3 linked regions of the Xenopus tropicalis genome follow. The protein of the gene in region 1 binds, or shares a complex with, the protein of each later gene. Links are inferred from orthologs where the notes say so. Each region holds a gene or a part of one and is shown in the gene's direction. Other genes may lie near its edges.

Region 1 (3,181 bases):
AAACATTTCTCCCACCCCACTAAAATAAAATACAGTTTTGTTCCCTACACATACTGTAGACAGTAACCAATTAGTGTGGGCTGGAGGGGGCAGTTTGGGCCTCTGTTTACTTGAAATACCAGGGACTATTTTTGAATCACAGTCTGGCCTGCTCTCTGCTGGTTTAGTCCTATAATTTGCCAACTGCTTTAATTTGGTTAGGTGCGTTTGTTGCCAATGGAACATGCAATGCAACAATATAGCCCATAGGATAAACAGTCTGTTTGGCATTGCGGAACCAGCTGTAGAATAATGTACATTTTGTTTAAAAGATATCAAGAGATATTTAGGGCGTGTGTGATTTCACAAAAATATGTATAAATATCTCCGCACATAAGACCAAGTCCATGAAAGGCGTCCTTCTTAAATTGTTCTATTTTCAAAAAAACCTAATTCTGTCTTAACAGCATGGTTTGTATTTATATAGCTTGTAATGCATACTGTAATTGAATTGTCCATTGAAGGAAAATATTCCACAATGAGAAGAAAATGAATTATAGGATTTAGATTGTGAGTTGTTGTATAGTTTTCCCCTTTGGATACATTTTTCATCTCCAGCAGGGATGCTAGTATTATGTTAAGTGCAGATACGTGGTTATATTTCACATGGTTTCTAAAGAGAAAAACGGCTATTTCGTACAGCGCCTTACGCAGTTTGTAAATGGAATAATAGCTATGTTTGGCAAGATATATTTTGGGGGGAGGAAATAGCCTAATACCACTAAGGAAGATTTAGATACATGAGGGTTTTTCATTAGCCTCCCCCCCCCCCCCCGCCATATTGAGGCATATTTCTGAAACATTGTCATACATGCTCACTGTTTTATGTTAACATACAGTTATCGCAAGTTAATACAGGTATGGGACCTTTTATCCAGAATGCACAGAATATGGGGTTTTCCAGATAAAGGATTCTCCTGTAATTTGGACATTAACATTAATTAGAAATAGGATTGCTATGCCTCCAATAAGGATTGGGATCAAGTACAAGGTACTGTTTCATTGTTACAGAGAAAATTAAATCAGTTAATTTGATTAAAATGGAGTCAAGAATGACCTTCCTGTAATTTGGAGGTATTATAAATTTGACCAATCCCATACCTGTATATATAGAACTATCTACTGTGTAGTAGATTATTAGGCTGAATAACTGGATTGTATATAACAATATCTATCTGCAAGGTAGGGGGAAGGTGCCAACTCTCACACTTTCACTCTTATATCCTCCTGCACATATTAATGGCATGAGGGAAAGATAACCAAATCTTTGCAATGGCTGGAAACACCAAGATGAGTTTTCTTGTGGATTGGTCAATTACCTGCAGAGGCCTGACAATCTCCATGTGTGTGTCCAGCTTTAGTTACTCTAGTAATGGAATCTTTTGACCATAGATAATTCTTTCTTGACATTGCTTACTCTACCAGATATTATATACGAAACAATACCTTGGCTTTTTAAATGTAAATCTTTCCACTTTCATGGACGGGTAAGCTACCTTGTAACCATGGTTATCTACTTACTTCTGTAATAAAATCATTTTCATAGCCATCTGAACTGTATCGGTTGCAGAAATGGGCAGCTAAATGGAAGACAGTAAAAAATTAAGTGTAGAGAAATGTCGTTGTCTCTCTTCTAAGCAGAGCAAAATCAGAAGACTTTCCCTTTGGCTGTCAGGGCAGTAAAAAGCTAACCAGCAGGTGGCACAGTTGTTTCAGTTTCGCTATATTCGCAGTGTAAAAATTGCAAATATCTTAAATGAAAAGAAATGTAAATTACAATTTTACACAAGTTTTGTTTTGATGGCTGACATCTCCTTTAATTTAAAATAAGGTAAACTATGCTGTGAACAGGACCCTTGGCAACAAAACTGCGGCTATGATTATATAAAGATGAGAGAGTATTGCTTTATCAAAAAATGTATCTGCTTATCTTTACAGTTTTTTCTGTGTGTGGGGGGGGTTATTTTATAATTCAGTGTTCCTATTTAAAAACATGAAACAAATAATATAATCTGCTTCTTGGATAAATTGCTTATTGGGCAATAAGAACTTTTTTTTCCATTTTGCCATTTTTGTCTCAAATAGGAAGCTAGATCGACTTGAAAAGAAGAAAAAGAAGAAAGAAAAGAAACAGAAGAAATCCCAGAAGAAGAAAAGCAAGACTAAGCATAAGAAGCGCAAAAGCAGCAGCTCCTCCAGTGACACATCTAGTAGCAGTGCGAGTGAGTCGGAGAGTGAAGAGGAACAAAGACACAAGAAGAAGGAGACCAAAAAAGAGAAAAATGCTAAGGAAACAGACCAAAGCAGCAGTGACTCTGATGAAAAGCAGAAAACAAGAAAGACCAAAGCCTCGGAGCAATTGTTGAGTGAACGCAGAAGAAATAGCAGGATGTAGTAAGTCCTGACTGTAACTCAGACAGTAGTATCCAGAAACGGACTAAGAAGTCACAGAAAAGCCAAAGGCATTATAGAGCTAGAGCCAACAGTAACTCCAGCAGTGAACAGCCAAGGAACAGGCATAGAAGTAAGAGTAGAAGCAGGAGTAGGAGCATAAATAACTATGATTGTGGGAATAGCAAAGATAAAGAGAGAAACAAGGAAAAGAGGAGCAGGAGCAAAGACAGGCAAAGAGACAGGGGCCAGGATAGGGACAGGAGCCGGGAAGGGTATAGGGGCCAGGACAGGGCCAGAAGCCGGGAAGGGGAAAGGGACAGGAGCCGGGAAGGGAATAGGGGCCAGGACAGGGACAGGAATCGGGAAGGGTATAGGGGCCAGGACAGGGACAGGGACAGGAATAGGGGCCAGAACAGGAGCCAGGAAAGGGACAGGAGCCATCAAGACAGAGATCATAAAAGGAGATAGTATTTTATAAAGGACTCCACACATTGGATGCCCACTAAGAAATCCTTGTACCGTATGCATCTTCCTTGTAATCTTCCTTGGGATTTCAGTGCTGTGTATATACTTTTGTTTGGAATTAAAGAAAATATCCTTGCCCTTTTGTGCCTTACTCCGTGTCACAATGAATGCATTCTGGGCCTATCTTATGTGTGCCGTCTAATGGATGAGGCAGAATTTATAGCTTAAAGGATTCTGGCAATTGTAATGAACAGTAGGTTGTCTTTAATGATCCATACATAGT
Region 2 (3,580 bases), on another chromosome or scaffold:
TATTATACTGTGTAAGAAATGGCGAGAAAATTCGCCGGGCTTCGCCGTATAAAAATGGCGTTAAAATGGCGTCATTGTTTTACGCGTTTTTTCTTCCACCAGAACTTATGGAAAATAACTGCGTAATATCCGCCGTTAAGATGGCGATCTTTTCCACTTATTTTACACAGCTTTTTACTGTTAGTTTTACACAGCATAATAAATACACCCCTATATGTTTTGGGCAGAGCCCTTTCTCAAGTGTACACTTTTTCAAGTGAAACTTGAGAAAGGGCTCTGCCCGAGTTTGTTAATACTGCTTGGAGCTCTTTGATTAAATTGTATCAATTGGTATAAGCATTTCACAGTGGAATGCACAACCATAGAGTTTCATCGCAGGCAAGGGGGAGTGAGAGAGATGAGCAGAATGGGAGGATTTAGGGGAACTCAGCTTGTGTATGTGTGGTGAGGTAATGCTTTGAATCTATTCATTTGCTGCACTGAATTTATTGGCATACCTGGGGTAAGTGTAGTGCTTGATTCATGATCCATGTCTACCGTGATATTAATGTCTTGTTCAAGGTTAATCTGATCATTGTCCATTTTCTGACCAAGCTGAATCCAAAGCAAAAATTAAATGACTTTAGGTTACATGATCAAGGAAATATATTTAATTATTCTGATTTTCATACACACATTCCATCATGAACCAAGGATTTGGAATGGGCAACTGTCAAACCATAAAAGACTGAGTTTTTTGCAGGAGTAAAATAATATTATGTTGAGGTTGACATATTTAATTATATAGGTTATTACAAAAGGCACTGCAATAGAATACACCAAGGATTACCACATCAGCATCCCATTATACCTCATACTGTCATAAGTGGTTACACAGTTGTGTAATCATCTTTGGTGTATTTAGCATTGTGTGAAATACTAGATTAAAAAGAGAAATGTTTTGGTTTTTTTTAACAGGAGTGTTGATTGTCTTAATTGTCACCACTTTGCATAGCTTTCTACACCCTTTATATGTCCGAATTTTTTTTTACCATGTGATTTGTCCCATTGACTTGATTGGGATACTCCAGCTCCGAGGTGGTGTAATAGTGAAATATATTGGCCTCAGTCTGGAGTAAAATCACTGACATGTTGATTATAAAGATTTAATTTATATACCATTTGATATATCTAATACAGCATATTGTATATACATGACTATAGCAATAAGAGTTTGCCTCTAAGGATACATGCTGGTAAAAACACACACCAATATTCCCCATGTCTGCGAATGTATGCTGTGATATCAATGGTATCAGAGGCATCAGGCAAGATTTTTTTTTTTTAAATAGGTTGATCTGAGCAAAGTCTGACAGTTCACCTTGTATTCTTAAGGTGACCATACACAGGCTATAAAAACTGCTGATGTCTGATTTTGGGGCCCCCAGATGAGCCTCCCCAACCGATAGCTGTCCAAAAATCGGGCATGTTTAAATATCCAGTAGTGATGAGGAGTGCATCACCACATCAATTCAGTCCTCATCTCGATGGCCTGTATCCCGTCAATTCGATGCGACGGGCCAAACAATCAAATCAATCTGATGTCGTCCACCTCAAGATGGACATATCGGTGACAGATAAGCTCATTTGACGACCTCGGCAAACAAGCAGATCTTCAAATATAAAGCCACTTTTAGTCCATTCTCCTACTGGAGTTGTATAATCTACTGTATATACCCACTAGTAAACAATAATTTCACACTCAAGAGACCTGAGATTCAAAATAGGCTCTAGTATTTTTAAGTGCACAAATTCACAAACTGTCCCACACAGGCCTAGTATAAAACACCTTTATTTATAAAACGCCTTTATAAATGGGAATGGTTAGTCCTGTTCTGTTATCTATCATCCGGAGGACCTGCTTTCCTAAGGACTTCTATTCAAAAAACAAAACTTTTGGGGGGACAACTGCCATAACCTCAGACATGACTCTTTGCATCCTGAGATGAGTTGGTGTCTACTTTTTGTTGGGCAGCAACCTGATTCCTGCAGCATTTAAAGGGAGTGTTAGATTCTGGCAGATGTTCTTGTAGACACTATCAACCAAGTATTTTAGTGACAGGTTGGTGCAATCTGCACATCCTATTTTCAAAATATAGTTGAATTCCAAAAAATTCAGGGATGGCTGGTGGGTTCTGTAACGCACAAAACTACTAATAATGCCACCGTCAGTGAGAAAGCATATGTATCTCAATGCATTATGGGAGTCCCATAAAATTGTGTGCCCTGTAGTAGATGATCTGCTTGTCTTCCACTTCCGCCATTTCTAGTATTTACTAAGCTTTACCAGATAGTAGGAAAAGTCTGTGCTTGTTCTGTTTATGATCATTTTCTCTCTAGGATATATCTGCAAACATTTGTTTCTGTCCTTTATTTAGGCAAGGCACCTTTATATTTGTGACTTTCACAAGAACTTAATTCAGAGTGTCAGAAATAGAAGGAAAAGGAAAGGCAGTGATGATGATGGAGGTGATTCCCCTGTTCATGACGCTGATACTCCTGAGGTATTTATGTTTCCCTCCTAGACTGTATATATTGTACATAAACTAAATGTAACTTTTAGCCTTTTTATTTTTTAGAAAGCTATAGAAGCAACTGCATTGTAACATTGCTGTCTCGCATTGCACTGCTATCATTACAAAGCTCCCCCTCTAGCTGTGCAAAGCTTCAATTGTTGAATTGTCAAGACATTATCTAATATGCTAGGGTTTGTTCAGGGGTAACTCTGAGGCCATAATAGTTTGTGAAGTAAGATATTGTGTGTCAGATATTCCCTAGATCAGCTCTGCCCAACATTTCCTGTGTAGTGCGCTAATTATCTGACATAGTAGTTATTTGTAGATTAGATTATATCAAAATGATGATGTACATGGAGCCATTGGTACAAATACCAACTCATGGGCCTCCAAATGGGCACTACTGTTCTGGATGATCAAAAATCTAAGGTAATGAAATGTTGCATTATATTGAAGAGGAAATGTATTTTGGACTGGGTTTCTTTCCTGGCTGGGTTCAGTGATTTTGTAAGAAAGAGCTATTGCTCCACCCTCTCCTTAGCAACCCTATTCTCATTATATAACTGTCAAATGAGTCAACAGCTGAAGGGAGAGACACTGAAACTGTGGGCAGATAAATGTATAAAAATACTGTTCAACATTAAATGAATTCTTCTAATAAGTGTGATATATTTTTATTGACTGTACTTTCTCTTGAAGACAAAATATCTATGTTTACAGATATTGGGTATGAGAGTTGGTTGGCTCACACAGTTAAAGGAATACTGTCATGGGAACATGTTTTTTCAAAACGCACCAGTTAATAGAGCTGGTACAGCAGAATCCTTCACTGAAATCCATTTTCAAAAACACAAATAGATTTTTTTAAATATGACATAGGGCTAAACATATTCTTCATTTCCCAGGGTGCCACAGCCATGTGACCTTTGCTCTGATAAACATCAGTCACACATTACTGCTGAGCTGCAAGTTGGAGTGATATCACCCCCGTCTCAGCAGCCAATCAGCATTAAAATGGGAAGGCA
Region 3 (3,580 bases), on another chromosome or scaffold:
ATCACAGGCATCTGGGTTTTGTTATGTGAATGACATCGTTATTGGCATTCTTGAGCTACTTAAGTAAGTACCATAAATCTGAATTAAAATGGCTTTCTCCTAAAAGAAGAAACTTCCATAAATAGGTATGCTGTCATCATGTAGATCAGTGATCCGCCACCTGTGGCTCGCAAGCAACATGTTGCTCACCAACCTATTGGATGTTGTTACCAAGGACCTCAAAGCAGGGGCTTATTTTTTAATTTCTGAATTGGAGGCATAGAAACCATGTGTACTGCCAAACAGAGGCCCCTGTAGGCTGCCAGTCTACACTGAGTTACCAAATAACCAATCACAGCCCTTACTGGTCAATCTTTAGGACCTTTTTTCATGCTTGCATTGCTCCCCAACTTTTTTTACATTTAAAAGTTGTTCACAGGTAAAAACGTTTGGGAACCCCTGATGTAGATGCAGTCCTATGATAATTTGTCTTATTTTATAATCCTATAATACATTCTACATTGGTTTTACAATGCCTAGTCTGCGAATGCTTGCCCATTCTCTGGGATGCTGCAGTTATGAACCTAATAACAGCTTCTAATATTAGAGTAACATGTAGTTTTGGAAAAATACATTTGATTCACTTTTCAAAATTTTTTAGCTGTAGTAACTATTTGTGCATTTGTGTGGCCTGTAATCTCTGGTACTTATCCAAAACAATAAAAAAAAACAATGAAAAATTGCAAGGGGTGCTCCCAAAAGGAAGCTTGCTTTCCCAAAAGGGGTTAATGCATGCACATACTGTGCAGTATTAATTAATTTCTTTCTCCTTGTGTTTTAGTCTGATGCACATAACTTCCCAAAAGGGATGTTACCTGTTTTATGAACTTCATGTTAACATAATGTTTTGTGGGTTTACCCCTAGGTATCATCCTCGTGTTCTTTATGTAGATATTGATATTCATCATGGAGATGGAGTACAGGAAGCATTCTACCTCACTGACAGAGTTATGACAGTATCATTTCACAAGTATGGGAATTATTTTTTCCCTGGTACAGGTGAGTACTGTTAAAAGGAACAGTAGAAATGAGGGCAGTTGGACACACACCATAATGTTGGAGCACAGGTGGAGAAATGTCTTGAAATGCTTACTCTTATTGTAAATCATTTTGCTAATAATAAATTAGCAACTAGTGGCCAAATAGCATTATAAAATGTTTCATTTTGATATACAGCCAGTCTTTTATATTCCAGACAATAGGCAAGAAAGGTCTATAGTCAGAATAATAAGAATAATTGGCTGTTTGCCCTTGTGTCCAAATTTCTAAGCCATTTTTCTACCTTCACAATAGATACACCAGTATGTGACCGTAATACTAAAATAGTCTTTATCTGCTAGTGTAGGCAGTCGCTCACCAGTAATAAACAGCCTTTGAAACGGCCGAGTGTGCAAAATGGATAAACGTAATTATATATTTGGATTACATGGATAAACACTTGTGTATACCTTTTTTTTTTTCCTCCTGTAGCCAATCTTGCACCCTTTTTGTATTCAGACATTACTAACATGTAAATTGCTGTTCTGCATGCAAAAGAGAGCTATAATAATGTGTATTTACTTTAAAGTGATGAAACACTGTCAAGCCATGGTCCAATAGGTTAAATATTGTGTGAGTTAGTTATTAATTAGGATAGCAAATGACTTGGTTCTGAAAGGAAGTCCATGGAGCTGAAGCTCCTCACAAGAAAAAAACAGTAGGGAAGGACCATGTAATTATTACTCCTTACATTCGCCTACAAAGCCCTCAGTAACAATGTTCCACCTTACATTTCCAGCCCTATCTCCAGGTACACCCCAAATCAACCACTTCAATCCTCTAATGATCTTAAACTTACCGTATATACTCGAGTATAAGCCGAGATTTTCAGCATGAAAAATGTGCTGAAAGCTCCGCCTCGGCTTATTCTCGACTATATACGGTAATGATGCTCTAGTAACCTCATCACATGCTCACCTTTACTAGAGCAGCTCCATACCTGTGGAATTCATTAACCCACAATGTCAGACACTCTTTTGTCCCACAGAGTCTTAAAACACACCTCCATGAAGCATACACATTTACCTGATAACCAAACTGGTGCCTTGTAAGGCATTACCAGAAACAAATGGTCAGCTATTGCCATGAGCCTAAGAAAGGTACTCGATAATTTAACCCCACAAACTTTGATTATATTTATTATTCAGCTTCTGTTTTATCCTATAGGGGATATGTACGAAGTGGGAGCAGAAAGTGGAAGATATTACTGTTTGAATGTTCCCTTAAGAGATGGCATAGATGATCAAAGTAAGTTCCAGCTTCCATCAGTAAGGTCTGTAAGTTGGGTGGCACAATCATCTTTTGTTCTATACCTGGTTCACAAGCAGAGTGTACACTGAAGTTCACTATACATTTTTCTAGTAGGTTCTGCTTGGTACAAGGGCATACCTATAGTATGGTAATGTCTTATTATAAAAGTATTTTCTTTTAAAGGCAGGCTAAAATCATTAATTCACATTAATTTTATATGTGGTGTCTAAAAATATAGAAATATTTGCAGTTTCTGCAGACTGCTAATACCAGGTGTTTGGCTCAACTGAGAATGAGCAGTGACACAGGGTCTTCAAAAAGCTATTGAGCTGAAAGCCTGCCAAGTAGTATAAAACTCCTAATATCTAATATCACAATTGTTTATTGCTATTCATTTTAAAAAGTTACTGTAAAGAAAGCAAGAGAGCTCAAAGAATCACGCTAAGAAAGTTTACACTAATTCTTCTTTACGAGAATTCTTCCATAACTTAATTCTTTGTCTTTTGCTGATTTATTATTAGGAGATTATAGCATTAAAGGGTGGCGTTTGATTTGGGATACAGTAAGTTGTGGCCAGTGTGTGCTATGAGAGGCTTAAATAGCAAATTAAGCCAGTATCCCTTCATGAAACCTTAGGTGAAATGGAGCAGGAGGAAACACATTATACATTCAGCTGTACATTTTTTTTGCTTGAAAAATACAGGGAGAAAATTAAGGCTTAGTGACCCTTGAAAGCATTGTCACAAGAGGGGTTCAGTGATTAGGTCATTCCACTGGTTTAATGACAACTAGAATATTTAGAATTGCAATGGTTCTGTATGGGGATTTTTACAGCTAAAGGCTACAGGGTTACTAAAAAATGTGTGTTATCTACGAAATACAGTGGCTTGCAAAAGTATTCGGCCCCCTTGAACTTTTCCACATTTTTTCACATTACAGCCACAAACATGAATCAATTTTATTGGAATTCCACGTGAAAGACCAATACAAAGTGGTGTACATGTGAGAAGTGGAATGAAAATCATACATGATTCCAAACATTTTTTACAAATAAATAACTGCAAAGTGGGGTTTGCGTAATTATTCAGCCCCCTTTGGTCTGAGTGCAGTCAGTTGCCCATAGACATTGCCTGATGAGTGCTAATGACTAAATAGAGTGCACCTGTGTGTAATCTAATGTCAGTACAAATACAGCTGCTCTGTGACGGCCTCAGAGGTTGTCTAAGAGAATATTGGGAGCAACAACACCATG

The links. The genes of interacting proteins can lie anywhere in the genome.
Region 2: cir1 (region 1) and sap30 share a complex: the UniProt entries of both Homo sapiens proteins name them as parts of the histone deacetylase complex. The link is inferred for Xenopus tropicalis from reciprocal best matches to the Homo sapiens genes CIRSR and SAP30.
Region 3: cir1 (region 1) and hdac3 share a complex: the UniProt entries of both Homo sapiens proteins name them as parts of the notch corepressor complex. The link is inferred for Xenopus tropicalis from reciprocal best matches to the Homo sapiens genes CIRSR and HDAC3.

The regions. Positions count from the first base shown.
Region 1 is NC_030685.2:66,439,947-66,443,127, forward strand, and holds the end of cir1 (corepressor interacting with RBPJ 1), read left to right. Parts: intron 1-2,124; coding exon 2,125-2,434; 3' UTR 2,435-2,676; downstream 2,677-3,181. UniProt on the Homo sapiens protein: May modulate splice site selection during alternative splicing of pre-mRNAs. Regulates transcription and acts as corepressor for RBPJ. Recruits RBPJ to the Sin3-histone deacetylase complex (HDAC). Required for RBPJ-mediated repression of transcription.
Region 2 is NC_030677.2:48,755,307-48,758,886, reverse strand, and holds part of sap30 (histone deacetylase complex subunit SAP30), read left to right. Parts: intron 1-2,417; coding exon 2,418-2,543; intron 2,544-3,580. UniProt on the Homo sapiens protein: Involved in the functional recruitment of the Sin3-histone deacetylase complex (HDAC) to a specific subset of N-CoR corepressor complexes. Capable of transcription repression by N-CoR.
Region 3 is NC_030679.2:27,758,489-27,762,068, reverse strand, and holds part of hdac3 (histone deacetylase 3), read left to right. Parts: intron 1-7; coding exon 8-63; intron 64-904; coding exon 905-1,038; intron 1,039-2,244; coding exon 2,245-2,325; intron 2,326-3,580. UniProt on the Homo sapiens protein: Histone deacetylase that catalyzes the deacetylation of lysine residues on the N-terminal part of the core histones (H2A, H2B, H3 and H4), and some other non-histone substrates.